Elephas maximus indicus: one gene and its partner. The protein of the gene in region 2 purifies or fractionates together with the protein of the main gene of each other region. This does not show direct contact. Links are inferred from orthologs where the notes say so. Each region holds a gene or a part of one and is shown on either strand. Other genes may lie near its edges.

What was found.
Region 1: the proteins of DHX38 (region 2) and PPP4R3A purify together in Homo sapiens (co-immunoprecipitation; 3 studies listed by BioGRID and IntAct, with this or other methods). This does not show direct contact. The link is inferred for Elephas maximus indicus from reciprocal best matches to the Homo sapiens genes DHX38 and PPP4R3A.

What each region holds. Positions count from the first base shown.
Region 1 is NC_064828.1:105,160,188-105,175,148, forward strand, and holds the start of PPP4R3A (serine/threonine-protein phosphatase 4 regulatory subunit 3A), read right to left. Parts: upstream 7,832-14,961; 5' UTR 7,706-7,831; coding exon 7,564-7,705; intron 1-7,563. UniProt on the Homo sapiens protein: Regulatory subunit of serine/threonine-protein phosphatase 4. May regulate the activity of PPP4C at centrosomal microtubule organizing centers.
Region 2 is NC_064839.1:38,398,040-38,413,975, reverse strand, and holds the start of DHX38 (pre-mRNA-splicing factor ATP-dependent RNA helicase PRP16), read left to right. Parts: upstream 1-7,710; 5' UTR 7,711-7,799; exon of another isoform or gene 7,800-7,810; intron 7,811-7,838; exon of another isoform or gene 7,839-7,930; intron 7,931-10,146; 5' UTR 10,147-10,165; coding exon 10,166-10,488; intron 10,489-11,332; coding exon 11,333-11,520; intron 11,521-12,403; coding exon 12,404-12,508; intron 12,509-13,047; coding exon 13,048-13,195; intron 13,196-13,359; coding exon 13,360-13,478; intron 13,479-13,638; coding exon 13,639-13,715; intron 13,716-14,140; coding exon 14,141-14,296; intron 14,297-14,878; coding exon 14,879-15,040; intron 15,041-15,164; coding exon 15,165-15,272; intron 15,273-15,936. Other genes in the region: TXNL4B (thioredoxin-like protein 4B), read right to left, coding at 1-52, 1,586-1,737, 4,121-4,252. UniProt on the Homo sapiens protein: Probable ATP-binding RNA helicase. Involved in pre-mRNA splicing as component of the spliceosome.

The DNA of each region.
Region 1 (14,961 bases), on a different chromosome or scaffold from region 2:
TCTATTCTGTCATATGGGGTCACTATGAGTCAGAATTCACTTGATGGCACCCAACAGGTTATACTAAAAGCTTCTGGTATTGGCAATTTTTTTTTTTCCCTGCGTCATTTCATAAGAGTATGTAGGGAGAATATCTCCTGAAACCCATTTCAGCCATAAGACATCATCACTTCAGGAAGTCCAGTTCTGGTTCCCAAATACCATGTTCCCTAAGAGATCAGTAGGTTACAGAGGCCGGGGCATGGGAAATAGCCTTTTGATTCAAGGGCTAAGTAAGATGATAAATAATGGACACATTTCTAGTTTTACTCCTGTTCCATCTATCAGTTGTTTTTTCCTCCATCTATTAGTTTTTCTTAGACCAAGTTATGAACACTCTTCAATCAACTGAAAAAGACCTAGTTGAGTACTAACATACACTAATGCCTTCCTTCTCGAACAAGTTTATATGAAGCAGTTTCTGTCACTACAGTACTGGCAGTGGTAGTTCCATCCTAGTAATGTGTGGGCACGGATAGGGCTGTGGACTCCAGCTTCAGGTGAGAAGCATACAGTAGCAGAGACAACAGGTGAAAAATGAGGGGGATGACGTTGTAGGGGATGTTAAGCACCATTAAGGGAAAGATAGAGACAGTTCTCTCGTAACGTTAACACACACTTTTGGTTAACAGGTAGGTCCAACATAACTCGCACACATGCAAGACAGCCCCCTCACCTCATTTGAGAAACACATCCATTCACCCAAAGAGGAGTTATCATTCCAGAGGAATTCACCCTCACCTCTTCCATGACCCTCCCCCCTACATACCGGAAAAAGATATTCTTTCACACAGACTAGAGATCGACAACCCTACACAGAAAACCCCAATATCAAGACTGGAGAAAGGCCTTCCCACCTCCAACCTGAAAGACTGGGAGGGGGAATATGAATACAAAAAGAAAAATTAACAGAGGGTGATCAAACTACGTGAAAAGCATCAATACATTTAATTAAATGTCATTCCAGGATTTAACACACAGACCACTAGCAAACACAACAACCCTTATCAAAGGTAAACTAAAAATTACTACACAGCAAATGCTTGTCACAAAGTCCATTCCAAAGTCTGCAAACCTGTAATTGTGCATGTACTTCCTCAAAGAAAAATAAAACATTAATTACTATCTTGTTTCTTGAATGTCAAAAAAGATGTTGTTAATCCTCATTTACTACTCCTAAAATGGAAAATCAGCAGGACCTTTTTGAAGGATCGTCTATCATTATCAAAATTTTAAACACACGCTTCTTTTGTCCAGTAATTTCTCTTCAAGGAAATTACCCTACGCCTTCACGCAAGTGTGCCCAGATACATGAATAAAGTTCATCAGCAATGCCTGTATTAACACAAGAAACCTAGAACCAATCTTTAAGCTACCTGTTCTCAGAGTGTGGTCTGGGGACCCCACCTGGGCTGGAGGATCAACACGATTTTCATGATAATGATAAGATGTTATTTGCTTTTTTTTATTTAATTCTTATTTCTCTCACAGGGTCTACCCTGTGACACTGCAACAGGCTAAATGCAGAAAGAGGTGAAAATCTTCCTCTTTTAAAAATTAAACCACACAGTAAGATATTTCTAAGAACGTAATTCAATGACTCTCCTCACTGAACTCTTTTATATTTTTTCTTAAAAACTTTGTTAACATGTAACACTGAAGAAAACACTCTACTTTTAAATGAATTGATATTTTTCAAAAGCATTAGTTTTAATTAAATATCAGCAAATATAATCCACATAAGCAAAAGCTTTTTGAGATCTTTAATTTTAAGAGTATAAAGGTGCACTGAGAAAAATAAGTTTAAGAAATGCTACTCTAATGCCACTGATGGAGTCCCTGGGTGGTAAAAACAGTAAACGTGCTTGGCTGCTAACCAAAAGGTTGCAGGTTGAAGTCTACCCAGGGGCACTTGTGAAGAAAGACCCGCTGATCTATATCTAAAAAAATCAGCCACTGAACACCCTATGGGCACAGTTCTATTCTGACACACATGGGGTTGCCATGAGTTGGAACGGACTAGAGAGCAACCGGAAAATTGAAATGCCACCAACAGGACACTGTGTAAATTAAACAGTGGGAAACGATGTTACTTTAAATGACATAGATCTGTGCATGCTAACACAAATTGATGCCCAAAATACACTGATAAAATGGAGCCCTGGTGGCTCAGTGGTTAAGAGCCTGCTATTAACCAAAACGTTGGCAGTTTGAAACCGTGGAAACCCTATGAGGCAGTTCTACTCTGTCCTACAGGGTCGCTATGAGTTGGAATCAACTTGACGGGTTTGGGTGTTTTGTTTTGTTTTGTTATACCCTGTTGCCAGTCCTCATCACACCATCAAAACAGAGTAAACACCTCTGGGGAGGAGAATAAGGGTAGCTGGCAGCACAGACAGCAAGGTACTGTTCTCAATGAGTCTAAATCAGAGGACCTAAAACTAGTGCCTGCATCCTGGATGCAGCTAGCTTGTCTGACTCCTGGTCTAACAACACACAGACACACTGACACACACACACACATTCCATGCAAACGTTTTTGAAAGGAAAGATTTCACATAAAAATCTAGATTTCTGGTTGGAAAAAAAAAGACTCACTATTCAATTAAAGAATACACCAAGACTTATGTGAAGAAAAATAATACCTACACCTCATAGGATCGCCATGAGTATTAGTTGAAAATTTGTACTGAGGTGCTTACCGCAGTAGTACATAACCAGCGCGCAATCAGCACTGTTTTCAGCGCGTGCTCAGACCATCATCTTAATGGCGTTGCTGTACTGCCGTACAGTAGAAAATTTTGTATTGACAATGATGATCCAGAAACACATTACAAGTATGAGTCTAACCAACACGGGTTCAGTATAATGTTTTATATTTAGGAAGCATTCCATGGAAATAGCCGACGGTTTTAAAATTACTGATGCACAAAGATAACTAACTTTAGTTATCTGGAAAACTTTAGTTATCTGGAAAACTTAACATATTTAGAGGATCTCAGTTCCTTTCAGTGGATGACTGATTTATTTTAGAGTTTCTGTAACTTTTGTGATTTAATCTTCAGTATCAACCAACCAATCAGATTCAGACAGTATGGGAGTACCTAAGGCCAGGTGGTGGTCTCAGGACTAATTTGGACAAACAGTGAAGGACTTCAGATGAACAGCTCCAGCCTGTCCCCCTGATGAGGTGGTTCAGCCTCAGGCTTACCCATTATACCGTCTTCATCAATGCTTATGTGTAGGAAGAAGGCACCACCAAAAGTGAGTCACTCAAGTCCAAAAACTCATCTGTAAGGTCTATAGCAGGTCTGTGCTCCAAGTCCCTCTATCCTGATTTTTTTTTGCCCACAGTTTATACACACACACAAACCAAACCCATTGCTGCCAAGCCGATTCTGACTCATAGCAAACTGACAGGACAGAGTAGAACTACCTCGTGAGATTTCCAAGGAGTGGCTGGTGGATTCAAACTATCAACAACCTTTTGGTTAGCGGCCGAGCTCTTAACCACTGCGCCACCAGGGCTCCAGTTTACACAATGGCGTTTAAAACCTGAAAGGAAGGTTTAAGGGGGAAAAATTGGTAACATTTTATTAAAAGCTTTCACAGCTGGACAAGCCTCCACTACACTCCAGGCCCTGAGCTATAGCCAGTGCAGGTAACAGCTCTCAAACTGTGGGAAGTTATCATTTGCAACGGATGATCAGTAGGGGTTTGGTTACCCCAGGACTATTAACTTTCTATAAGGTAGGTGCACACACAAAGAAAAACCCTGTTGAAGTAAACTGTCAGAGTGCAATCTTGCCCCGGTACTAACACTGAGCTCTTCTTGGTAGCTAAATATACATCTGGAATGTTTACTGTATGCAACATTTTATATTATTACTGACTTATAAGGTGAGTAAAAAAAAAAAAAAAGGCTGATGGTACCTCCGTTCATTTCTTCTACCACAGCAGCCCCCCCCCCGAAAAAAAAGCCTTTTTCTCACAAAGTGTTCTGCCCTCCTTTTCTCTGTTACAGTAGGGGTAGGGGCAGACCCACCTACAGCCAAGGCAGAGTTCTATCAAGAGACAGAAGTACGGATTCCAGTTTTACCATCAGCTACAAATACTACCCGAACAAAACATTTCCCTGGGTCTCATCCTCCCCGTGCCTCAAGTAACAGTGAGGAGTTTGCTTCTTAACCCTGAAACAGGCAAGTAAAGTTGGATAATAGAGAAAACTATTTTGAAATGTAGAAATACAGAATTTAGGAGTCCCTGCATGGCACAAATGCTGAAGTGCTCGACTACTAGCTAAAAGGGTGATGATTTGAACCCACCCAGCAACGCCACGGGAGATAGGCCTGGTGATCTGCTTCCAAAAGGTCACAGCCTTGAAAATCCTACGGGGCAGTGAGCTCTATTTTGCACACATGAGGTCACTATGAGTCAGGATCAACTCTGCAGCAACTAACAGCATTCTCGATGCTTGGCCAGTGTCTGTAGTAAAGAGTGTGGATGTGCCTTTACGTCCAAGGACATCCTCCATTGTGTGCAGAAATCCAGTTTTTTTACTTCTTTTTATCAATTCAAAAACTGTAGGTGGGAGGTCATAAAAACCACAACGAAGACAGGAAAGCATGAGTAAGAAATGAAATTATGCTCACTTCAGCAAGTTAACAGGTATGGCATAAGCTGAAAGAAAATACTAAATCTCTGCTGAAAGACGTAATATTATAGGTACACAGCTACCATAAATCCTGAGAGAAAAAAAAAATTTTTTTTTATCTTCATTAAGAAGGAGCCCTGGTGGCACAATGGTTAAGTGCTGGGCTGCTAACCGAAAGCTCAGAAGCTCAAAGCCACCAGCCACCCTGTAGGAGAAAAGGCCTGATGATCTGCTCCCATAAAGATTACCATCTAGGAAACCCTTTGGGGCAGTTCTACTCTGTCCTATACGGTCACTGAATCGGAATCAACTTGACAGTACAAAACAAGAACATTTAAAGAAAACATGTTCCCACAACAAATACTGCCATGAGGAACCTAGTGAATAAGGCTGTGATCCAGAAATGCACTCCATAGCTCAGTCAGACATCCCTCCCCTCCAAAGCAGGTGGGCCATATACCTACTAAGGCACTCAGCAACTGAGGGGATGCACATACTAACCCCAAGACTGATCTGCCCTGTAATACGGGGGCCACAAGTACTTCCATTCAGAAATTGCCTCTCTGATTGTTAGGTGTCAAGCTCTTCTAACAAGAACCGAGACTCCATTTGAGACAGCATTATTATAGTCTCCCTGCCTCAACACAGACCCTAGCTGCAAAGATCTTAAGCAAGATCTTAACACTGACCTGGCTATGTGATCTTAAGCAAGTTACTTAGCCCTTTGAGCCTCACTTTCCTCATCTGTAAAACATGGCAATAATAGTACCTACCTCTTTTTTTGCACTATATTTTGTTCTGTTACACATAAGTTGGAGCTTATCTGACTACAACTAACAAAAACAATTATTAATAGTATCTATTTCAGATTCAGAGGGGTGCTGTGAGAATTTACAAGAAAAGTCCCAAAAGAATCCCTGGCACATGGTGGGCATTTGGTAAATTTTAACGATTATTATTCATATTTGGAATTTTCCTATTAGAAAAAATGTTAATCATTAAACTAAAAGTGTTTCCTACACTATTTCACAAGTTTCCTGGGATTTTTCTAAGCCCACTCTTTGGATTCAGTTTTCTTTACAACTCAAATTTAACAAGAGCATACCAGTAATTTAGTTTAGCTCTCTTTATCTGTTAGATAAAAACTGAAGCCATTTGTTTTAGTCATTCAACTTTCCCTCCAAAGAGAGGGAAAGACGTTAGGGACTACTGCTAAAGTGGTAAAAATCAAAATTGGGAAAAAAACAGAGTCCTAAATTACCATGTTAGAAGCGTATGATTCCTCTTGATAGTATGACATTATGCTTTAATGTTTAAAAATACTTTAAACAAAAGACTCATTTGTATTAAGTCAAGTTTAAATACATGATGTGAATTAAGGTTTTACGTTTGAGATTTCAAAGATCCACATGCTGTCATCTCAAAAGAAGTTAACTGAACCTTTCCAACTCACTAAGTAAAAAGTTCTGCCAAACATCCAGACTTGTAGGATAGCTGATTATTATGTGATAGTCCTACACAATAGAACACTAACACCTGACAGTCAAACATATTATTTCACGAGACAGATAGGTCTCAAAAAAATAAATCCAATATATTCAAAATCTTAAAAATGCCTCCAAAAAGAAATTATTTTTCTCCAGTTTAAAGCTAATTTGGGTAGCCCATAGACAATTTACTCCAAATTACCATTGTACCACTTTTCAGTTCAAACTGAACGTCAATATCCCTAGAATTTTGTTTTTTGTGTAACTGAAGCTCTGGTTAGAGTGTCCAATGGAAAATTCCTTGAAATGAATTTGTAATAATTCAGATATGTGACCAACGACTGTAACCATAATAAACTGAAAAAGCTACTGGAAAATTAGACTGCAAAGTAACAAGAAAGGTGAAATAAAACTACTTCCAAACCGGTAAGAAACAACGTGAAAACAGTTTCCCCTGAGATGGTTATATTCTTTTAAGTGTAATTCACAGTATGCACTGAGAGAAGTGGGAATCCTTACAAGGAGCAAGTCTTTATAAATCTGAAACACTGTTACTTTTGACACCACGTGGTCTATGAACCTGGAGGGCTGTTACAAAAAATGTGAAGGGTTTATGTGAAGCCTGAGGCACAAGGGCAGATCTTAAACGATTTTAAAAACATCTGCCAACTTCTCCCCACCTGTTACCTGAACCAAAATATAAACATATATTTAAGGAACCAAAAAAGCTCGCATAGAATGATTCCAATTTTGCAAGATGTTTACAGATGAAAACGACCCACAAAAGTCGGCATTGCTACTTTGAAAAAGGCAAGCAGTACTGAGTAACACAAGTCTATCTTCTCCGGGCAAAGAAGCGCATTTTCCCTGCCGAGTGTAGCCGCCAGATCCATGAACCATTGTTGTCAACCTGCAACAGGATCAGAAACAGGCAGCAGAGAGATATTAAAAGGAAACAAGGAGAGCATGTGCAGGGTAAAAAGCTCTTCAGAGTGAGTTGGCGAAGAACTTTCCTAGCTCCAACAAAGTGTCATCTCGCTGCTTTACAGATGGGTGAACTAAGGCGGAAGATCGGACGCAGCGGTGCCTTTCTCAAGGTCACCCCACGGGTGCGGAAGAGCCGCACACCCCGCGCTCCCCCGGCCCCGACCTCTCCCCGCTCCCGGGCGGCGCAGCTCGGACGTGCTCGGCTCCCCTCCCACCCACATGCCCCAGGCACTCGGAGAAGCAGACACTCGCGCGCTCTCCGTGGAGCTCCCTGGCGGCTGGGCACCGCGCCCCCGCAGCCCAGCCGGGGACCCCTCCGATCCTGTCCGAAGGGCGCCCCTGCCCCCCGACAACCGTGGAGGCGACCAGAGTCCCGCCGCGAGGGGCTCCACTCACCGTCACTCTCGGCCCTGACAAGCAGGGACATGCCCTTCAGCCGCTCCACGTAGCCGGACGACACATGCCCGGTGCCTCGGTCGTCCCACTGCCGGTCCTCGTTCAGCGTGTAAACCTTCACCCGCCGCCGGGTGTCGGTCATCGTGCCGCCCAGGGCCTGGGGCGGGCGCCCCGCCGGAGTCGCCCGAGCAGGGGCCCGGGGAAGGCGGGAGCCGAGGCGGGAGGGCGCCGCCGAGCGAAGGTCTCCCCGGCCTCACTGCCGCCGCTGGCCGCCGCGGGGCCGCGCCGCCGCCCGCATGGCCCGCCTTCGGGCCCGAGCTCTGGGCCGCCGCCTTCCCTCGCCTGCGGCTCCTCGGCGCTATTGTCCAGGCACGGCGAGCCCGGCCGCCCGGCCGCCCCGAGAAGGCGCGCAGCGCTCCGCGTCCTTCCGCCGCCCGCGGTAGGAACTCGGGGCGCCAGTCACTGCGCTGCCCCAGCCTCCGCCATGAGCTCCCCGAAGTCGCTTCCCGCGCCGCCGCCGCCGCCGCCGCCTACTCAGGCTGCCGCCGCCATGTTTTCCTTCCTTATACCTGACCCTGCCACCGTAGCCGGTGGCTCCGCACCGCCCTCCCTTCTTCAAATGTCCGAAACCGACGGCCGCCTGCTTCTGCTGCTACTGTTGCCGCTGATCAGGAGACTCCGAGACCCCCGGCCGCCCGAGCGCTCCTGGCTGTTGGGAGTCCCTTCCTCTACGCCGCTGCCACCGCCTCTTCCGTCTTCCTCACAGAGCCAATGCCGCCGCCATCTTGGTTCGTCCCTCAATAGGCGCGCGCGGGGCCTCCCAGGCAGCAGCTGCAGGGGCGGCCCGTTGGCCCCACCATTTAAAGAGACAGAAGCGAGGCCTGGCGCCTCGCTTCCGCGGAGGCCTCGGACGAGGCGGGCTCCGAGTTGCCGAGGTGGCGGGAGCTCAGAGCGTGGGCGAGGCGGAAGGCTGGTCGCGCAGGTGACGGCCCGGGACACCCTCGCGCTTCCCAGCGCGCACCGTCGTGCGAGCGCGGGGCGGTGTGTGCGTCCGTCGCGCCCTGTTTTCGTCATCAGCCCCGCTCGGGCGTTCGAAAGGGGCGTGGGCCCGCCTCCGACTGGGGTCGCTGGGCCCGGTCTCAGGCCGTCATGCTCTCGGCTTCTCGGGCTTCAGATTCCCCTGGCGCCTTCGCGGCTGCTCCTGTCTTCCCGGCGCCGGGCGTTTCGGGGCCGTGGCTCTGCCCGCGGCGCACCAGCCGCCTAGAGTGTCCCCATCCAGGCCGCCTTCGTGGCTGGACGAGGCGCTCCAGACGCCCTCGGGCGCGGAGTTCGGGAGGCTCGGGACTCCAGGCTATTCCGCTTTGCGATGCAATTGAAAAGCTTCTGAGAAAGGCCACAGGTTTGGGCCGCGAGGCCACCGCGAGTCTTGGGAGCTGCCGTGGGGCACCCACTTCCGTGGCGAGGCCACTAACGGGACAGCTTTAAGTTTTCTGGGCCTAGAACTAAGCGCCAAGTGACAATTCAAAAACCTGATTTTACATTCCACCTGCGACCTTCATTTCTCTTCCTTTATCAGAACCAGTATTTTCTAGCTAATACTGTTTTTGGAGCACCTGCTTGACGTCAAGCAGTGTTAATCTTCACAAAGGAATAACATTGTTTTTCTTATCTCACGCAAATAATAGCCACTATTTTATTTTAGGGCTTTTTCTGTTTGGCAAACCATCTATGTCAGTGCTGTCCAATAGAAATAGAATGCGAGCCGTATGTAATTTAAAATTTTCTAGTAGCCACTTTAAAAAAAAAAAAAGAAAACAGATAAAATTAGTTTAATAATGTATTTTATTTAATGCCATACTTTTTAATGTTTTCTTAACGTGTAATCAATAAGAAATTAAGGTATTTCACATTTATTTTCCTATTAAGTCTTCAAAATCCGATGTGTATTTTAACCTTAGAGCAAATTTCTATTCAAATGCTAGAATTTTCATAGAAACTTCTGATGTACATTTAAATTTCATTAAATTTACAATTGAGAAAGTAGATTCACAAACTCAAGTTGGTTCAAACAAAAATATTTCCAAAAGTTGAATTAAGTATCAGTTCTTAAATTTAAATTTTAATTAAAATTAAGTAAAATAAATTTGGTTCGTCAGTTGCAGCAGCCACATTTCAAATTCAGGTGCTTAGCATTACCATGAATCTTGCAGTGACCCTGTCCTGTAGTTTGTATTATATCCTTCTATGCAGAGAGGCCCTGAGAGCAGGACCAATCAGCCAGGTGTGCCCGAGGCTGAGAGATTTACCGGGTTTGAGGGGTTTTCATGGGATGCTGGCCTTGGCAGATTTAAAAATCAGAAAGTGGCACCGTTTCTCCTCCACAATGTCAGGTGCATGGAAGTGCTTGCAAAGAGTAGCCCAAAACCTTCATCATTTAAAAATAAAACTGGATGCTTTTACTTAAAAGAATAAAATGCCATGATTTCAAGTATTAGGGCATGAGAGCAGTTTTGTCAATGGAGCCCTGGCAGTGCAGTGGTTAAGAACTCAGTCTGCTTAACCAAAAGGTTAGCAGTTTGAATCCATCAGCCTTCCCTTGGAAACCCTGTAGGGCCATCCCGCTCTGTCCTATAGGGTCACTATGAGTCTGAATTGACTGGACAGCAACAGGTTTGGTTTTCGTTTTGGCATGACATCAATAAAGGAGACCTGGATGTGCAGTAGTTAAAGTACTCAGCTACTAACCAAAAGATCAGCAGTTCAAACTCACCAGCCACTCTTTGAGAGAAAGATGTGACAGTGTGCTTCCATAAAGATTACAGCCTTGGAAACCCTATGTGGAGGTTCTACTCTGTCCTATAGGGTCACTATGCATCGGAATTGACTTGACAGCAATGGTTATGATACCAGTAAATTTATTTGTGGGAAAAATGATACTTTTTAAATAAATTCCTTTTAAGTTAAACTGCAAGAATTATTAAATCGAAAAAAGTTAAAATTCTGTTTTAAGTTACAAATCATATACAATCTATTTGAATGAAATTTTAGTACAATCTTAAATGACAGTAAATACTTTTAAAGTTTAACCACTTTTGGTTCGATACCCGGCCAAGGTACCTTATGTGCAGCTACCAGCCGTCTGTCAGTGGAGTCTTGTGTGTTGCTAAGATGTTGGACGGGTTTCAGTGGAGCTTTCAGACTAAGACAGACTAGGAAGAAAGGTCTGGTGACCTACTTCTGAAAAATCAGCCAGTGAAAACCCTGTGGGTCGCAATGGTCCAATTCCTTTGTGCTTAGGGTCACCACGAGTCAGGAGCCGACTCAACAGCCAACAACAGCAACAATAACATTCTTCAGAGTTCTCTTTACTTCCTACTAGCCAACCCTCCTTCCTCCAATCCCCTGCTATAGGTAATAGGTCTTTATATTAAATACTCCCTGTCCCAAATAAATAAATAAAGTTTAATCACTTTTTAATGCTGTACCATCCACAAATGGTGATAGAATTGAGAAAATTTCCAAGGGAGTTCAATAAAGCATGTTGCCAATCACAAAAGGTGGAGATACATTGTCATTGTGGTCAAGGCTGTGGCTGATGGATTATGAGTCCAAGTCCTGCCTGTTAGTTGTTTGACATTTACTAGTTGCTTAACCTCTCCGTGGAAACCCTGGTGGCGTAGCGGTTAAGTGCTATGGCTGCTAACCAAGAGGTCAGCAGTTTGAATCCGCCAGGCGCTCATTGGAAACTCTATGGGGCAGTTGTACTCTGTCCTATAGGGTCACCATGAGTCGGAATTGACTCGACGGCAGTGAGTTTGGGTTTTTTTTGGTAACCTCTCTGTACCTGTTTCCTCACCTGTAAAATAGGAACAGGAATAATGTCTAGGTTTGTTCTAAGGATTCAATAAGTAACTGATTCCTTCTCTGCTCTCAACATAAAAGTTTCCACTGAGCCTTTGTACCTTCACCTACATGCATAACATAAACTTGTAAAATATACAATGGAGCCTATTCATTACATGATATTTGTACCTATTCTGTGTTACATACCTTTATCCACATTGCATTCATCATTTTATAGTGTTGCCTGCTTTAAAAGTCCTGGAAAGAGGAGGAGCGGGGCTGCTGGGTCATGCACTGCTTGACTCCAGAATGCGCCTTCCATGAAGATGACCTCTGTGTAAGACAGTGAAGATAATGGGGGCTATATGGGAGTCCCCCACCACTCATTTGTCAGTTTGTTGTACTGTGGTGGCTTCTGTGTTGCTGGAAGCTATGCCACTGATATTTCAGATACTGCAGGGTCACCCATAGTGGACAGGTTTTGGCAGAGCTTCCAGACAGACAGACTAGGAAGACAGACCTGATGATAAACTTCTAAAAACAATTGGCCAGTGAGAATCTAAAGAATAGCGGCAGAACACTGATACAGTGCCGGAAGGCACTTAAAACTTGACTGGGAGGAGCTACCTCCTCAAAGTAGAGTCAACCTTAATGATGTGGATAGAGTAAAGCTTTTGGGACCTTCATTTGCCAATGTGGCATGACTCAAAATGAAAAGAAACAGTTGCAAACATCCATTAATAATTGGAACACAGAATGTACAAAGTATGAATCTAGGAAAATTGGAAGTTGTCAAAAATGAAATGGAACACTCGAGGATAGATATCCTAGGCATTAGTGAGCTGAAATGGACTGGTGTTGGCCATTTTGATTCAGACAGTCATATGGTTTACTATGCTGGGACTAACAAATTGAAGAGGAACAATGTCACACTCATCGCTAAAAAGAACATTTCTAGATCTATCCTGAAGTACAGTGCTATCAGTGATAGGATAATATCCATTTGCCTACAAGGAAGACCAGTTAATACAACTATTGTTCAAATTTACACATGAACCACTGATGCCAAAGATGAGGAAATTGAAGATATTTACCAACTTCTGCAGTCTGAAATTTATCAAACAAGCAAATAAGATGCATTGATAATTATTGGCGCTTGGAATGTGGAAGTTGGAAAATACGGCCTTGGTGATAGGAACGATGCTGGAGATTGTGTGATAGAATTTTGCAAGACCAACAACCTATTCATTGGAAATACCTTTTTTCAACAACATAAATGATAGTCCTCACCAGATGGAATACACAGTAATCAAACTGACTACATCTGTGGAAAGAAACAGTAGAGAAGATCAATATCATCAATCAGAACAAGGCCAGAGACCGACTGTGGAACAAACCGTCAGTTGCTCATAATTAACTACAAGTTGAAGCTGAAGAAAATTAGAACAAGTCCACGAGAGCCAAAATATGACCTTGAGTGTATCCCACCTGAATTTAGAGACCATCTCAAGAATAGATTTGACATACTGAATGCTAATGACTGAAGACTAGGCGAGCTGTGGGCTGACATCAAAGACATATGTAAAAAAAGCAACAGGTCATTAGAAAGATGGGAAAGAAAGAAAAGACCAAAATGGATGTCAGGAGAGACTCTGAAACTTACTCTTGAACACAGAGTAGCTAAAGCGAAGGCAAGAAATGATGACGTAAAAGAGCTGAATGGTGGACTTCAAAGGGCAGCTCAAGAAGATAGAGTATTATAATGAAATGTGCAAAGATCTGGAGATGGAAAACCAAAAGGGAAGAACATGCTCCGCATTTCTCAAACTGAAAGAAATGAAAAAACTCAAGCCTCAAGTTGCAATATTGAAAGACTCCATGAACAAAATATTGAATGATTCAGAAAGCATCAAAAAAAAGATGGAAGGACTACACAGAGTTACTGTACCAAAAAGAATTGGTTGATGTTTGCCCATTTCAGGAGGTAGCGTATGATCGGAAACAAATGGTACTGAAGGAAGAAGTCTAAGCTGCACTGAAGGCACTGGCAAAAAACAGTGCTCCAGGAATTGAAGGAATACCAATTGAGATGTTTCAAGAAATGGATGCAACACTGGAGGCGTTCACTCACCTACACCAAGAAATTTGGAAGACAGCTACCTGGTCAGCTGTTTAGAAGAGATCCATATTTGTGCCCATTCCAAAGAAAGGTGGTCCAATAGAACTTGAAATTTTCAAGCAACATCATTAATATCACACGCAAGTAAATTTTTGCTGAAGATATTTCAAAAATGGTTGCAGCAGAACATCAACAGAGAAGTGACAGAGATTCCAGGTGGATTTAGAAGAGGACATGGAACAAGGGATATCATTGTTGATGTCAGATGTATCTTAGCTGAAAGCAGAGAATACCAGAAAGATGTTTGTTTACCTGTGTTTTATTGACTATGTAAAGTAAATTTTGTGTGGATCAGAACAAATTATGAGTAACATTGTGAAGAATGGTGTAAAAAACAGTGTGGGGGCAGTATCTGACCTCCTCCAACCCCACAAGGGGGAAGGAGAACCAAGATCAACAGCATAAGGCTGAGTCCCATGAGGTGGAGACCAGACAAGCCTCCTCTCTCCGCCATATTTGCTAATTCTGACGCCAGCCATCCCTCGAACAGCACTTTCTACTTTACCGCTGGGTTCGATAAATCATTGCAATGGCTACACAGAACTCACAGACAATACTCATGATTATGGGGTTTATTAGGGAAGTAACAGTTACAATTCAGGCTCAAAAACGTTGAGGATACAGTTCTTCTGTCAGGACAGCCTCTCCCCAGCTGTGCTCACAGGCACACCTCTCCCTGGCCTTTGGCCTCTGCCCAAAGACACTCATCTTTTTTTCTCTGTGGGCTGGGAAGCCCACCACACCATCTCCTGCTGTTGGGTCTCCCCTGCCACTGCTTCTCACCATCTTCAAGGTTACAGCTCACTTTCTGTCTTCTGGGTCCAGGAGTTTCTCAGCGCAGGGATCCCAGGTCCAGGGGACGTGCTGACTCCTGGCTGTTCTTCCTTGGTGGTGCTGGGATTTTCCTCTCTGCTCTGAAATTGGCTCTCTTTTAAGGCAGAACTGACCAATCCCCTTGGTGGGCCACATTACCCTATCACACAGTTCCGTCCAGTCTCCTAGATGGGAGTTACAAGACCATGGCTATAAATGCCGCACAGAAGTAATCAATTGCAGTGCAAATGGCATTTCCAGAACACTTCGCTGTGCTCATGTGAAACCTGTACATAGACCAAAAGACAGTTTTTTGAACAGAACAAGAGGATACTGTATAGTTTAAAATCAGGAAAGGTGTACGTCAGGGTTGTATCTTTTCACCATACTTATTTGATCTGTATGCTGAGCAAATCTGAGAAGCTGGACTATACGAAGAAGAATGCAGCATCAGGATTGAAGGAAGACTATTAACAACCTGCAATATGCAGATGACACAACCTTGCTTGCTGAAAGTGAAGAGGACTTGAAGCACTTACTGATAAGATCAAAGACTACAGCCT
Region 2 (15,936 bases):
GAAGTCTTGTTTGGTTTTGAAACTTCCCACAAACTTAGTGTGATCTGGGGACCTGGACAGTGTAACAGAGAAACAACCTCTTTTAGAACTTCTAATAATTACTTCAGGATAAACAAAACGATAGTAGCTTTTTTATTTTCTTCTTGTCAAGGAAGAAGACACAAAGCACAGCACTGATTTTTCAATTTGTGACTATAGGGCCATTTGGTGTATAACTAAAACCAGTGCTGTGGGTCACTGTGGGAGGCTGAAAGCTGTCATGTGAAGGGCTTCTGCTTCAAAATCTATTTTAAACACTGTTCAGATCATTAGCAAGAAGAGTTTTCTGAGTGTTGGCATGAGCTTAGTTGTTTGTTGGTTTTTTTTGCTAGGCACTGTGCAAAGGCCATTAACTAGTCATGATCCCCAAATTCTACTCACTAATGCTTTGGAATGGAGGATATTAAATATTTATATGTGTGCTTTTTTTTTTTCAGTATTACAAATACCAGATCTGTTTATATAGACATTTTATACAAGGAAATAAAATTACCAGTGAGGCCAGTGGTCGTATTTTAGTGTATATCCTTCTAATCCTTTCTACGTATGTTTTTTTATGTATGTATGTGTGTATGTGCGTGTGTGTGTGCTTAAGTATATTGCATGTATGTTTTTCACAATAATGAGAACCATACCCCACAAACTATTCTGTGATGTGCTTTTCTCAGCTACCATATTTTTTTTGAAGTTGTTAAATATGCATCTACAGCATCCTATCGATACATAGTAGCTCTCTGTGGACATCTAGGTTCTAAGTCTTCGCTTATAAAGCAAATGAACATCCACATAGCCAATTTTGTCCTCTTTCATGATTATTTTCTTCAGAGAAACTCTTAGAAATACAATTTCTAGGTTAAAGACACTGTTAAGACTTTTGATATGTAGTATCATAAATTGGCCTCTAGAAAGTTTATACCAAATTAATAATTACATTAATTGTGTTCCAGGAGAATAAATAGCTTGCACTTTACAATAGATAATGACAAAGAGATATACAAATCTATGCAAGCAGATAATTCAATTAAAGCAAGAAACAATAAGAATTACGGATATACTCAATAACAAACACTGGGATGCTGACTGGATGGAGTGGAAGGCATTAAAGAAGGCTTGAAGCAGTATGACTTCAAAATTCCTCTGGGTGGCTTAAAACAGGAAAGTTGGCAAGACAGAAGCATGTCTTAGTTTGCTGGAAGGAATGCTTCTTTTACAAATACAACCTACCAGTCCCAAGAGTTTAAGAATAATCACATATTTTGCTTAAAATGAAATTCCTAAGAAAAATTTTAAAAGCTGTTCTATATTTAAAAGCTGAAGAATGGCTAGTGCTTTGTAAACTGTACTATTCTTCCATACTTATGCAGGAAATTAAAATTTACCAATGCTACATGAAACACTCATTTTACACGAAAAATTAGAAAGTGCAATTGAGGAAACAATCCTTTTAAGACTCACAGGGCCAACACCACATGCAAACAGGTAAGCTGCTGAAACTGCTTAAAGGAAACTTTTAAGGCTGCAATAACGTCAAGTCAACCTCACTTACCCATAATCCACTTTCATATGCTGCCCATTGAAGAAAAATACAGTAGATGGAATATAACTGATGTCAAAATATTGGGTATAAACTGGAGTCTCGTCCACATCTACCAGGTATATAGCAGCCATTTTACTCAGGTGAGACGAGGTCTTGGAAAGCTGCGAATGGAGAGAGAGATGCAGGTTACAATGTGAGAGGAAGCTAATGTCTGTTCTGTAAAACTTTTTACTAGGACAGAGTATCTTATTTGAAAATTATTCCTGGGCCAGGAATCTAGTCCTTTTGGGTTTCACATTAGGCTACATTAGACATGGTGTAACTACACCACCCAGTCTGAATTATGGCTGACAAGGGGTTCTGGGTAAAGTTGTGTGAATAAATTTTTACTCTTATTTTTTCCCTAGTTTCGATCACATGGGTTTCCCTGTTTTGACAACGCGTTATAAAAATAACACGTTCACTTAAAAACAAAAAACTCTGAAATATATAATGCAGATACCGAAAGCCCCCGTAATGATAGCAAATACTTTATCTATTTGGTACTTTCTATTTTTTTTATGTGCTAACTGTTCTAAGTGCTTTCCTTCTGTTAACTCATTTAATCCTTACCATATTCCTTTGAGGTATGCACTATTATAGTCCTCATTTTATAGACGAGGAAACTGAGGCACACGGAGTAAAGTAATTTGCCCAAGGTCATATAGCTAGCAAGCAGTAAGGCTGGGATTTAAACTCCCATTTTGGCTTCAGAGTGTGTTTTTGACCTCTGTGATATACCTGCCTCCCTATAGCTAAGGGTATGCTTTTCTGGTCGTTCCCTTTCTCCCACCAAGGTTAACACACACACACACACACACACACACACACATTCTTAATCACAGCAGTGAGGATCCTAACACCTGATGCACACTGTTGGTGGCAGTAATAGAAATGGAGGGAAGAGGTCTCAGTGTTGGGTTAAGACTCTGTCTTAGGCTGGGTTCTCTACAGAAGCAAAACCAGTGATGTGTGTGTGTGTATGTGTCTGTGTATTTACATACACACACATATATATAGGAACCTTGGTGGCACAGTGGTTAAGAGCTTGGCTGCTAACTAAAAAGTCACCAGTTCAAATCCACCTGTTGCTCCTTGGCAACCCTATGGGGTAGTTATACTCTGCCCTATACTGTTAACTATAAGTCGGAATCAAGTCGGCAGCAATGGGTTTAGTTTTTTTTTTTTTAATACATATACGTATGTATACATATGTGTATTTATAAAAAAAAAAAAAAAACCTGTTGCTGTCGAGTTGATTCCAACACATAGCATCCCTATAGGACAGAACAGAACTACCCCATAGGGTTTCCAAGGAGCGGCTGGTGGATTTGAACTACCGACCTTTTGGTTAGCAGCTGTAGCTCTTAACCACTGTGTCACCAGGGCTCCAAGTATATGTATATCCCCAACCCAGTGCTGTCAAGTTGATTCTGACTCATAGCAATATTTTTTCTGGTTTTTAAGATATATGTAGAGAGAAAGAGAGCGAGCTGGAGGCTTCTCCTGACTTACACACCTGCAGGGGCTGGTGAACCCAAGATTGGCAGCTCAGATAGCAGGCCTCTGGCTCACAGGTTGCAGAGGCTGATGAATCCCAAAATCTGAAGGTAAACCGGTAGCTCAAGTTCCAAGAGCCAGAGGTCAGATGACAATCCAGAGTGAGCAAAAGCCAGCGAGCTTTGCCAGAAGGTCCACATATATTGGATGCAGGCCAGACCCCCAAGGAAACTCCCTTTAAACTGACTGGTTGATCACAGCAGGTCTCATCATGGAACCGATTACATTATGTCAGATCTCATTATGAAGGTGTTTACATTATATTAGATCTCGTTATGGAGGTGATTTTATCATTACGTAGCTGCCAAACTACATCATAACTGCCAAACCACTGAGAATCATGGCCCAGCCAAGTTGACAAACAACCTTAACCCTCACAGGCTATCTCCATAATAAATGGGAGACAAGAATAAACCTAATCTGTTCCATACACTCCCTCCCTACTCATCAGAGTGTGAGGATGTGTTGTGAAATCAGAGATTATAATCAAGCACATACTGGAGGCAGCAATCTAGATTGAAAAGAGCATCTGCAGCCAGTTCAAATCCAAGCTGTGCAGTTTAGTGGGTCTATGACAGTGGCAAGTGACTTGACCTCTCTGCTATTACCCCATCTGGGAAGTGGGGCTACCATTACCTCACTATTTTGAGGACTGAATTAGATAATGTTTGTAGACACTTGTTAATAATGTTTTCTCCTCTTATACTGCGTTGTTGGTGAAACTGAGCTTCAACAGCAAGTAGTGGGGAAGGACACCCAGGACAGATTCAGCACAACCACAGCTTTGGGGATTCAGCTCAGTGGAAGGAACATCATCAGTCTTTAGTGAAAGTGTGCTGAATAGTGAACAGCTATAGCCCCAGGCTCTGCCTGCTCCCCTTCATACATTTTGCAGAAAATGTAATCATTTTTAATAAAAACCATTTATTAAAAAAATTCACTTACAATATCATCTAGCTGCAGACAGACAGGATCCTCGTCTCTCCCAAACCTGAGAACCAACACTTTCTCTGCAGTACTTTTTATTGCCTGGTCTACTTCTTTTTTGCTGATCAGCTTGGGCAATAGGAAGCTCATCTTGAAATAATCCAAATTATTAATTCTCGCTGGCAATCCTGAAATAAAGCTGCAATGTTTAAAGACAGTTTGAGTGCATGAGTCCTAACTATGTAAAAAAAAAAAAAAACTTTTTGGAATAGGTAATTATATTTACGTGGTATAAAAACAAACAATACAGAAATTTAAAGTGTGAAAAGTCTTCCCTCCTTGCTTTTCCCTCCTCCAGCTCAGTTCCCATTTCCCAACCTCCCCCTGAAGCCCCCATCAGGTATTATTTTTATCAGTTTTTTACATATCTTCCAGAGTACAAATATGCATTCCTATATTTCTTCCCTTTTCACCCAAAAGATAGCCCACTCTATCAATGTTCCAGCAGGAAACAGATGGCACCCTCAACTTTGGTAATTTGAAGACAGTTTAGTGAAGGCAGGATGTAGGAAAACAAGGTATAGTGCAAAACTTTGGGGCTAGTAACCGTGGAGACATGGGAGGGAGTAGTTACCAGAACTGGATGGTGGAGACAGCTGAGTGGAGAGTGCTGTTGGCTAAGCAATCAGCCTGCAGTTAAGGGATGCAACCACTCTCCTCCCTCCTACTAGTGCTCCCATGGCTGCCTCCAAATGAAATCATAGGGCAGGGGACCTGCTGAGGCAGGCCAGCCTCCGGGTCACAGAACAGTCTAGAGGAGGAAAGGCATGTCGGGAGAGCAGATGGAAGTCCAGCACACACTTTATCCACTCTTCGCGCTTTGCATTTTTTACCTAACATACAAAGATTTCATACTTATATAGAAAACTTCCACTTTCTTTTTCATAGCTGCGTACTACTTCATATCATACTATTTAAACAGTCCGTTATTGATAGACATTTGTATTAGGGACATGGCAAACAGATCAGCTGAAGGCGTGTAGGAAACAACAATCAAAAAAACACAGAAAATACTGAGATAGAAAGGGCCTTACCCATCCCCCTCATTTTACAGACTAGCTTGCTTATAGTTACACTTCTAGCTCTACAAGGACTAGAATTCAAACTACCAAATTTCTACTCCAGTGCTCTTTCTACTATATAAGCTTCTACTTTTATTATTGAAGAAATTTCATTTCTAAGGAACTTCTTAACAAGGAGTTTTTTGTTTTTTTAGGCCAATCTTGAGAGATTTCATTGAAATATACTTGATATTTTGAATTCAGTTCCAAAGCTGGCTAATGTTAAGAAAAAGTGAGAATTTCTTTCATTGTATTTTTGTGATATGTCATATCTTAAGGTATGAATAAAAATTCCTGCAATAGGTCATACTTTAAACAGGGAAGCTGATTGTCAACAGGGAATTCACAAACTGTTGGTATCAGAACAAATTACCGATGAAAAGTCAAAGAGAAGATTAATCTGTCCCACCACTAGATTGCAAACATTCAGAAACTCCTCTATGTTGCTGATAAAGAGAAGAAGGTGAGGGGAGGGCAAAGTTGTCAACAAGGAAGCCAGGGGGGGACTGGATGGAATGCTGGAAGGAGAGGGAAATTGAGATGACACTTAAGAAAATGTCCATAGCAAAGGATACTAACAGGGAATTCACAAAACAAGAGGTACAAATGGCCAATCAATCATAGTTAAACTGTGATGCGTTAAGATTGTGTGTCAACTTGGCTGGGCCATGATTCTCAGCGTTTACATGTGATCACTCCCAAGATGGGATCTGCTGTGAGTAACCGAGCAGTTGAAAGGAAGTTTCCTTGGGGGTGTGGCCTGCATGAGAATATATGCAGCCATTCTGGCTTTTTGCTTGCTCTGGATCCTGCGGCTGCCTCCTGTTCGTCTGACCTCTGGCTCTTGGGACTTGAGCTAGCAGCTTGCCTACCAATATTGGGACTCAGCGATCTTCACAGCCTGTAAGCGAGAGCCCTGCTCTTTGATCTGCCCATCTTGGGTTCACCAGCCCCAGCAGCTATGTGAATCAGGAGAAACTACTATTCTGATTCACAGACTTGGGACATTCCAGCCTCTACAATCAGTGTGAGCCGTTTCCTTGATATAAATCTGTGCATTCATACGCTCTACTGGTTTTGCTTCTCTAGAGAACCCAGCCTAAAACATAAACTTTACTAATAACTAAAGAAAAACAAATTAAAAGATAACTTTAAAAATCCACTAAATTTGCACAGATTAAACAAGATAATAATATACAACAATCACACCAAATGTGAATGTTGGGGCTGGTATTAATCATCCCTGCTGGAATGCAGAGAGGCAAAACTATTCTGGAAAGAAAGCTATTCTTTGACCAACTATTCCATTAAAAAAAATTAATACATAGGAAATAATCATACACGTGCAGAAAGATTTATTGTGTAACATGTATTCATTACATTTATAATGGTGAAAAATTGGAAACAACCTAAATGGCTATCAATAGGGGACTGATGACATAAATGAACACAGTCCTGCAATGGGCCACTATACAGCCACTAATTTAGAGATGAACAATTAATATACTGAAATATTCTCATGATACATAGCTCAAAAAAAGTTACAAAACGGTATGTAAAGTATAAACCCAATTTTACATGAACCGTAAATATAATGTATGTGTACATATTTGCATAGAAAAATTGCTGGACGAGTAAACATCGTAAACACCATCAGTGGTTATTTCTGGGTGTGGATAAACGGGTGATTTTTATTTATTTCAGGGTGTGCCTCTGTCCAAGTATCCTACAATAAACATGTATTATGAGAGAAATACTTGATAAACTTTTTAAAGATGCCTGTGGTTAGACTGGGAGCCCTGACGGCGCCGTGGTTAAAAGCGCTGGCTGCTAACCCAATGGTCAGCGGTTAGAACCCACCAGTGGCTCGGCAGAAGAAAGATGTGGCGGTCGCCTTGGAAATCGTATGAGGCAGATCTACTCTGTCCTTTAGGGTCGCTGTGAATCGGAATCAACTCGAGAGGGCAACCGGTTTGGTGGCTGGGCTACTCCTGTCTACAACTGCCAGGGAAGACACACTTACTTTACTTGTACAAGTCACCTTCTTCCACTTCAGGGCTGTCAGCAAACGGGACCCCTTCTCGGAAGAAGCGGGACACACGTGGCGCTTTTCTTCAGCTCCAACTCAGGCAGCGACCCTAACGCCAAGTAACCGAGGGGCTGTTGCCTAGCAACCCTCCGCTGACCACTTCCGGGTAAAGAAACGAGAAAGAAAACGCACTGGTGTAGTAGATACTGAGCGGTCGCTGGTCAACCTCCGTTTAACCGCCCAATATGCAGGCGAGATTATTCTAGTGACCGCCCACTTTACCGGCTCTAACCGGAAACCCTAGAGTCACTTCCGCCCATATTAAATATGATTCACCTTTCTTCTTCAGCTCTTCCCCCCCTCCCCCATACTAGACGTTGGATAGTACCTTTGAGACTAAGCGTGATTGGCTCGCGAGGAGACTCAAAAGAGGATAGTCTAGCCTTGCCAGCCAGGTCGCGCTTTGTCCCACTCCTGGAACCAGGAACCGGCGTTTGGCGGACTGCTCTCGGTGGTATCTTTGCGCGGATAGAGAAGGCCCCGCAAGGTATCATGGGGGTAAGAATGGCGGCTTTCAAGGTGCGGATTTTGGCTCCCTGAGGCCGCCTGAGCGTAGAGTGGCGGCGCCGACGCCCCACAGTCCGGGACCGAAGGGCCCGGAGAGTTGTGCTCGCTGCCGTGAGTGTCCCTTCTTTTTCCTGCCCTTGCCACTCCGGGCCGCTCCCGCGGCGGATATCGATCCCTTGCTCAGGTCCGGGTTTGAAAAGTTAACTTTTTCGGTTGTCACCCAACTCGCTTTTTTCACCTCAGGGATGCGTTCCGGTCCTTCCTGCCCTGTCCCCTTTCTTTGCTCCGGTCAGATCCCTCACCCCTCCTCAGGCCCCTGCCTTAGCTCACTCCCTGACCGATGATCAGCCGGAGTAGGGCCCCGTGTGTCTTCCTCTGTTTTTTCACGCGGCTGTCGTTACCAGACAACTTCGTGGGCGATCACCTCTAGATGTCAGCTTCAAGAGTGCGAGAATTTTTGCCTGTTTTGCTTTCTGCTCTGTCCCTATTGCCTAGAACAGTGTGATTGGCTCAGAGAAGGCACTCAGTGAACAATTGTTGAATGAGTTAATCTAGCTTTTTCTTCACTGTTTTTCTCATACCTTTTGTGGCGTCTTTGTCATTAGTTCTCCAGAATCTAGCCTCTTCACGCCTTATTTTTTGTTCTTCAAAGCTAGTTAAGGCCTCTCTGTCAGAAACCTTTTCGTGTGCTCCTTTGCTTGATGTCTCCATAAACTTGTGGCGTCTGGTTCTCCTTTGATATGTTTAAACTCATTCATTTATTCCTCAAACGTTTGTTTTAACTAGGTGCTGGGCTAAAGCAGTCAACAAGATAGACGAGGTTCCTTTAGTTGTATAGAATGGTATTCTAGAGGTAAATTTTCTAGTTTAAACTACAGCTACTCAAAGCCTGTATGTTTCTACCTCCCTGTTTGGAGTGTCGCACATGTATACAGGTGTCACCAATATGCGTCCATCTCTTTTATATTCTGCCTAATATTTTCAAAATGCAGCTCTTGCATCTGATTGATAATGTGTGTCCAGTCTGTTTGACTGTACTCTCAATGTAGAGCTGGGTGTGTTCATTAGAGCTTGGCAAAATATTTTGGATTCTGGTGGCACCCTACCCTTTCCTCTGCTTCACTGACTTGTTGGAATGAGGGGAATTATGCAAGCACTCAGAATAGGTGTATGTTTGCAATGCCGTGTAATGAGAAGTAAGAAGAATTTGTTACTTGTTGAAGGTCAGGAAGTCTTACAGTCACTTAAACAAAATATTTTTCAGGAACACCGTTCCCTAGAGTTTCTCATCAATGTTTTTGGTGAACATCAATAGTTATTAAACAGATTTTGACTGCTGTGAGGTAATTCTTTTCTACAAAACACACTGGTCTGAAAAAAAGCCACCAGAGTATGGATAATATGGATGGCAGCCTAATACCCCAACATCTCTATGTACTCTGTTGTATCTGTAGTTTAAAGAGAGGGATAGAGTAGAAGAATAGAGAGTACATTCATGAAAAAAAAAAGTGGCAAGGGACCCACTCAGTATATAGGAGTGTGGTAAATAATGTAAAAACTTTAGTTATATAACTGTTTATGGTTATAAAGGAGCCCTGGTGGCACAGTGGTTAAGTGATAGGTTGCTGATCGAAAAAGCAAGGGCCCTTTGAACCCACCAGCTACTCAGCAGGAGGGGAGAAAGATGTCATAGTCTGCTGCTATAAAGATTTGCAGCCTTGGAAACCCTATGAGGCAGTTCTAATCTGTCTTATAGGGTCACTGTGAGTCAGAATTGACAGCAGTGGGTTATAGTTACATAGAACTTTCACATGTACTTTCTTGTCTGATCCTCATAATAATCCATATTTTAGGTAAAGCAAGCATCGTTTTCACTTTATAGACATGGAAGCGATGGCCAGCCAAAGATTAAGTTATTTGCTTGTAATCACGCGAATAGACAGTGTCAAGAGCCTGGATTCTAACTCAGGTTTTATGACTTCAAACCTAGGGGTGTTTCCACTACATTGCCTGTACAAATGCTGCTAGTCCCTCATAACTGTTCCTTAGTGAAGTCTATTCTTGTCTGGATGATACCCTTTTGGATTCTGGGGGGATGTTTGTGTGTTTCTGGTGTGTGTTTGGATTCTGCAAGGGGGTCTTTCAGGATTGTCAGTGACTTGACTGAAAGTTTTTTGCAAGATAAGCTAAAGATATCCTGGTCTTGTTGCAGGGATGGGGAGAATTAACCCCTAAATATACCTGTAACTATAGGTATTCTGGTATATTTCAGAGCCTAACCTTCTCCTGTTTTATGTCTTGTCTTAAATGGTTTATTCTCCTGCCAGGGAAATCCCATAGCCTGTGATGGAGGACAGCAGCGAGGATGCTTCGATCCATCGACTGGAAGGCACTGATCTGGACTCTCAGGTTGGTGGTCTTATTTGCAAGACCAAAAGTGCGGCTAGTGAGCAGCATGTCTTTAAGGCCCCTGCCCCTCGCCCTTCATTGCTGGGACTGGACTTGTTGGCCTCCCTGAAACGGAGGGAGCGAGAGGAGAAGGATGACGGAGAAGACAAGAAGAAGTCCAGAATCTCTTCCTACAAGGACTGGGAAGAGGGCAAGGATGACCAGAGGGATGCTGAGGAGGAGGACAGTGACCAGTCCGGCCGAAGTAGCCGAAAAGACAGGTAAAGGCCTTAAAAAAAAAAAAAAACCGAACCCACTGCCATCAAGTTGATTCTGACTCATAGCAACCCGATAGGACAGAGTACAACTGCCCCATTGAATTTCCAAGGAGCGCCTGGCGGATTTGAACTGCCAGCCTCTTGGTTAGGAGCAGTGTCACTTAACCACTGCGCCACCAGGGTTTCCGGTAAAGACCTTAGGAAGGATTAATCCAAAGGGAATGAAAATGGAGACCAGAAAGTAAAATCCAGTGTTTATGCTCATTTTTTTTTCATTGCTTTTTTTACCTGGTTTTTTATTTATTATTGTTTTTTTAAGTGAAAGTTTACAATTCAAGTTAGTTTTTCATATAAAAATTTATACACACGTTGTTATGTGATCCTAGTTGCTTTCCTTATAATGTGACGGCATACTCTTCTTTTCCACCGTGGATTTCCCGCGTCCATTCAACAAGCTCCTGTCCCTTTTTGCCTTCTCATCTTGCCTCTGGGCAGGAGCTGGCCATTTAGTCTCGTGTATGTACTTGAGCTAAGTAGCAGTCTGTTCGTGTATCTCTCAGTTTTTTTTATTGGCCATTTAGAGCTTTATACTTTTGTTATGATTCTGTAATGTTCAGAGTAGGTAGGAATTGATATTTTCTTCATATTTGTGGGGAGAGTTCAAAGGTAACTAGAGAATAAATGATTGAAGTTAGAAATGCTATGGGTTGTTGCCATATGTAAGACTGGGGTACCAGGGAGATAAAGTGGAAAAGGACAGAGCACTTGTTTGGCACAGCCAAGAACTTCTTTTGGGCAAGGTTTCTTTCCTGCAGAGGGGTCTTTTATCATTACCCATACCTTTCAGACATTATCGATGTGCCCGAGTAGAGACACCATCCCATCCTGGTGGTGTGAGTGAAGAGTTTTGGGAACGCAGTAGGCAGAGAGAACGGGAACGGCGGGAACATGGTGTCTATGCCTCATCTAAAGAAGAAAAAGATCGGAAGAAAGAGAAATCACGGGATCGAGACTATGACCGCAAGAGAGACAGAGGTAAACTGGCATAGCACTTATTGCCTATTAGACATTTGAATAAACATACTGCCTTTTTCCTGTTGCAGTTTTCATAATGCCCAATAATTAGGGAGCCCTGTTTGCAAGATAGGAGTCCCTAGGTGGCATAAACAGTTAAATGATTGGCTACTAACTCAAAGATTGGTGGTTCTAATCTCTCCTGAGGTGCCATGGAAGAAAAGCCTGGCAACCTACTTCCAAAAGATCACAACCCAGAAAACTGTATGGAATATAGTTCTACTCTGAAACACATGGGGTGACCATGTGTTGGAATCAACTCAGTGGTAATTGGTTATTTGCAAGATGTTAGTCTGGTTTATTTTGACCCCACTGGGATTGGGAATGATAGGCAATTTAAGAAAATTTAAAAAAAAAAGCAACATAGCTGCTTTGCTTAAGCGTATGGTTCTTATTTTATTATAAAAATTGCTGAACAGGTGATAATGGGTAAGATGTATGAGAAAATCAGATTTTACAGTATTATTGGTGCTAGAGAAAGGACAGTGCTCTGGAGCAAAGCCAGACGTAAAATCCAATGCTGGCTTTGCTCAGTATTAAGTTCTATAGCTTATAAACTTGTAACTATTAAAAAACTAGTAACTATAGAGTTATAACTCTCATTTTTTGAATTCTTGCAGGAAAATAACTATTACTGTGAATTTGAAACTTTCTAGCCAGTAACTATTTTTTCCTCTTGAAAGAGTGGGAAAATGTGAGTTTCAGGAACCCCATGGATGGCATAATAGCAGTGCAGATTGCACCTGTGAGTGAGTGGTAGAAGGCCTGTCCTTTCTCAAGGGTGAAGATGGGTGTAAGTTAGGGCAGGACACGTTTTCTAAGCCTTGCGTGTGGCTCTCCACAGATGAGCGAGATAGAAGTCGGCACAGCAGTAGATCGGAGCGAGATGGAGGATCAGAGCGCAGCAGCAGAAGAAATGAACCAGAGAGCCCCCGACATCGGCCCAAAGGTGGAATTTCCTGCTTCCTGGCTGTGGGTTGTGGAGGTTCACGTGTATAAAAGTATAGAAAGGCAGAGGAAGTGACTCCCATCCTCAGTGGGTTCATCGTGGGCAATGATTCTACCATGAGCCTCTTGGAATACTTGGTTTGGAGTCGGGTGGGCATAGCCCTGACCTCTTGAGATGGATATGCTTCCTTTAGGGAGATAAGCACGTTTGCTGAACAGGCAATTTTCCAACTAGCAGTAAAGAGTGGGGAACTGGGAGGCAGAAGGATTTATTAAAAAGAATTCTTTGTACTCAAGAGAGATATTTACAGAGACAAATTCAACAATTCTTAAAACGTTGTTATAAACAAAATGAAAACTAATCCATTAAAATCAAAAGCCTTTAAAAACTGTCAAAAACACCTTATCCATTAGAAAAAGGTGCAAGATTTATAAATAGTAAAAGAAATAAATTTGGGAAATTGACTTTTGGCTGATTGTTCTAGCGCTATGTCTTGGTAAATGAACTATTTCCTGTGGATGTGTCTTTCGTGGCTTTAGATGCTGCCACTCCTTCAAGGTCTACCTGGGAGGAAGAGGACAGTGGCTATGGCACTTCAAGACGTTCGCAGTGGGAATCACCCTCCCCATCACCTTCCTATCGGGACTCCGAAAGGAGCCATCGGCCTTCCACTCGAGATCGAGATAGGTGATGTTCTGGTTGAAGCATCTGAAGCATCCCTGTTGCTCTGGGTGGGTGACAAGGGGTGGGTGTGATGAGGCAGAGGGATCTAAGATGGAGGAGCAGCTGGCAGCTGGGGAGAATGTCTCAGCTTAGTAACTGTTTAAGATGCTGGCAATCCTGTTTCCCAGGTCCGTGAGGAGTAAGTACTCCGAGGACACACCTCTGCCAACCCCATCCTACAAATACAACGAGTGGGCGGAGGACAGAAGACACCTGGGGTCCACCCCGCGTCTGTCCAGGGGCCGAGGTAACTCAGTGGGAGGAGGAGGCAGGAAGCAAGACCTCTGATCCTGGTGAGGCTGAGCTGAGGCTGTGCTTCTGGGGCTGTGTGACTTTCCAGGTCTGGTCTTGGCCACTGGGGATAAGTTAGGCTCTTGTGGACTGACGTGCTACGTGTTCTCCTTCAGGAAGGCGTGAGGATGGTGAGGAAGGAATTCCATTTGACACAGAAGAGGAGCGGCAGCAATGGGAGGATGACCAGAGGGTAAAAGCTTAATGTCTTTAAGGGGCCGAATAAGAGGTGGCAGAGGAAAGTGGGGTTAGTGCACAAGAGCCACAAGTGACACCCTAGTGGTTTTGGACTTTGATGAGATTGTTAACACTAGCTGAGTGGTTCAGTGCTGAAGTCCTGGAATCTCTTTCCAGAGGACTGGCTCCACAGGAAAACTTCTTGCCTAATGCTGTAGGCCAGACCTAACTTTCCTTGTTAGGTGCTGGCGCCACAGTGTGGTAAGTCTAAGAAGTGCTGTTATGATGGGCTGGATGACTCATGGTTCTTTACTGCCCTTTAGTCGGGGTGCTCCATGGCACTAGTGACTTCTTACCACACGTTTCCTCCCCTATTGGCTAAATCTTGCACGTAAACTTGACCTGCTTCTTGTTTCTGTCACTTTGTCTTATGCTTTTCAGCAAGCTGACCGGGATTGGTACATGATGGATGAGGGATACGATGAGTTCCATAATCCCCTGGCCTACTCTTCCGAGGACTATGTGAGGAGGCGGGAGCAGCATCTGCATAAACAGAAGCAGAAGCGGATTTCAGCTCAGCGGAGACAGATTAATGAGGTGAGGTCACCTACAGTAGTTGGAGTGTATTCAGAGCTGAAGTTGGATGCGTATGGGAAAGGTCGTGTTCAAGGATGATACCATAGTTTGTCTCCCCGTTGCCTAGAGACCAGATGTACATACACATCTGGAGGTGGAAGAGGGCTGGGCACAGACCTTTCAGTAGCTTACAAAAACCCCAGCACGTGACTTCTCTGCTTTACGGTACTTCCTTGAGGGGTGCTGTTGATGGGTGCTGTCATCCACTCACTCATCGATATGGTGGGCCCTGGCTCTGTGGTCTGTGTCCTTTGTGTCTTAGTGGTCAGGACTGATAAGTCGAGCCAGGAACTGTCACCATTTGTGTCTCCATATGGGGGTTCTGACCTTGAGTAAGGTGCTGCTTCTTGGATAAAGTAACCGCAGGTAATTTGAGATCAGCGATTCTTCAGTCAAAGGAGCTGCAGGGTTGAAAGGCCTGTGACATCTCTTGGGCCACCCATGGTCCTCCTGTCAGGACTCGAAGGGTGGACTTGCCTGGTGACCTTTCTGGATGACCTTCTGGTTACAGTCTGAGTGTGGCTTCGCATTGTGTCCCCACAGGATAACGAGCGCTGGGAAACCAACCGAATGCTCACCAGTGGTGTGGTCCATCGGCTGGAGGTGGACGAAGACTTTGAAGAAGACAATGCAGCCAAGGTGCATCTGATGGTGCATAATTTGGTGCCTCCCTTCCTGGACGGGCGCATCGTTTTCACCAAGCAGGTGAGGCTCCCCTGTGCCTAGAGGTGGAAAGAGGAAGACTCAAAAAGAGGGAAGAAGGGAGTGAAATGGACCCTGTTGATTTTAATGATCAGTGAGGGATTTCTTTTTCCTCAACCTCCTGCAGCCAGAACCTGTGATTCCAGTCAAGGATGCCACTTCGGACTTGGCCATTATTGCTCGAAAAGGCAGTCAAACAGTGCGGAAGCACAGAGAGCAAAAGGAACGCAAAAAGGTTGGTTTCTTATTACCTGGGGCTGGGAAGTCTGCGTATTTTTCTTTTTTCTTTTAAAAAAACTTGTTAGACCTCACAGACAGGATTCCTGTTGGAAGTGAGAGGACACTCACCAAGCAAGGATCTGCCCTAGGAGGAGCGCACTGTGTTCCTCCACCAGGTCCAGTTAAAACAACCACGGGGTATGGCGCTTTCAGAGCTTGAGGCTCCAGAGCTGGAATGCATGGCTTGGTGATTTTGCCACCTGCTATGGGGATTTGCCATGTGCTAAATGGAGACTCCAGCATCATTTCTGTCACCAAGGCCATATTTTCCACCTACTGATCCTTCTTTGTTTCTAACTTTCGCATTCCAGTCATCAGTACTTTTCAGTGCATCTTGGAACACTGAAGATAGCATGATAGGAAGTTGCAAGACCAGTGACTTATTCATTACAAATATCTTTCTTCAACAACATAAATGGCGACTATATATGTGGACCTCACCAGATGGAATACACAGGAGTCACATCGATTGTATCTGTGGAAAGAGATGATGGAGAAACTCAATATCATCAGTCAGAGCAAGGCTAGGGGCCGACTATGGAGCAAACCCTCAGTAGCTCACAATCAAGTTCAAGTTGGAGCTGAAGAAAATTAAGTCCATGAGAGCCAAAGTACAGCTT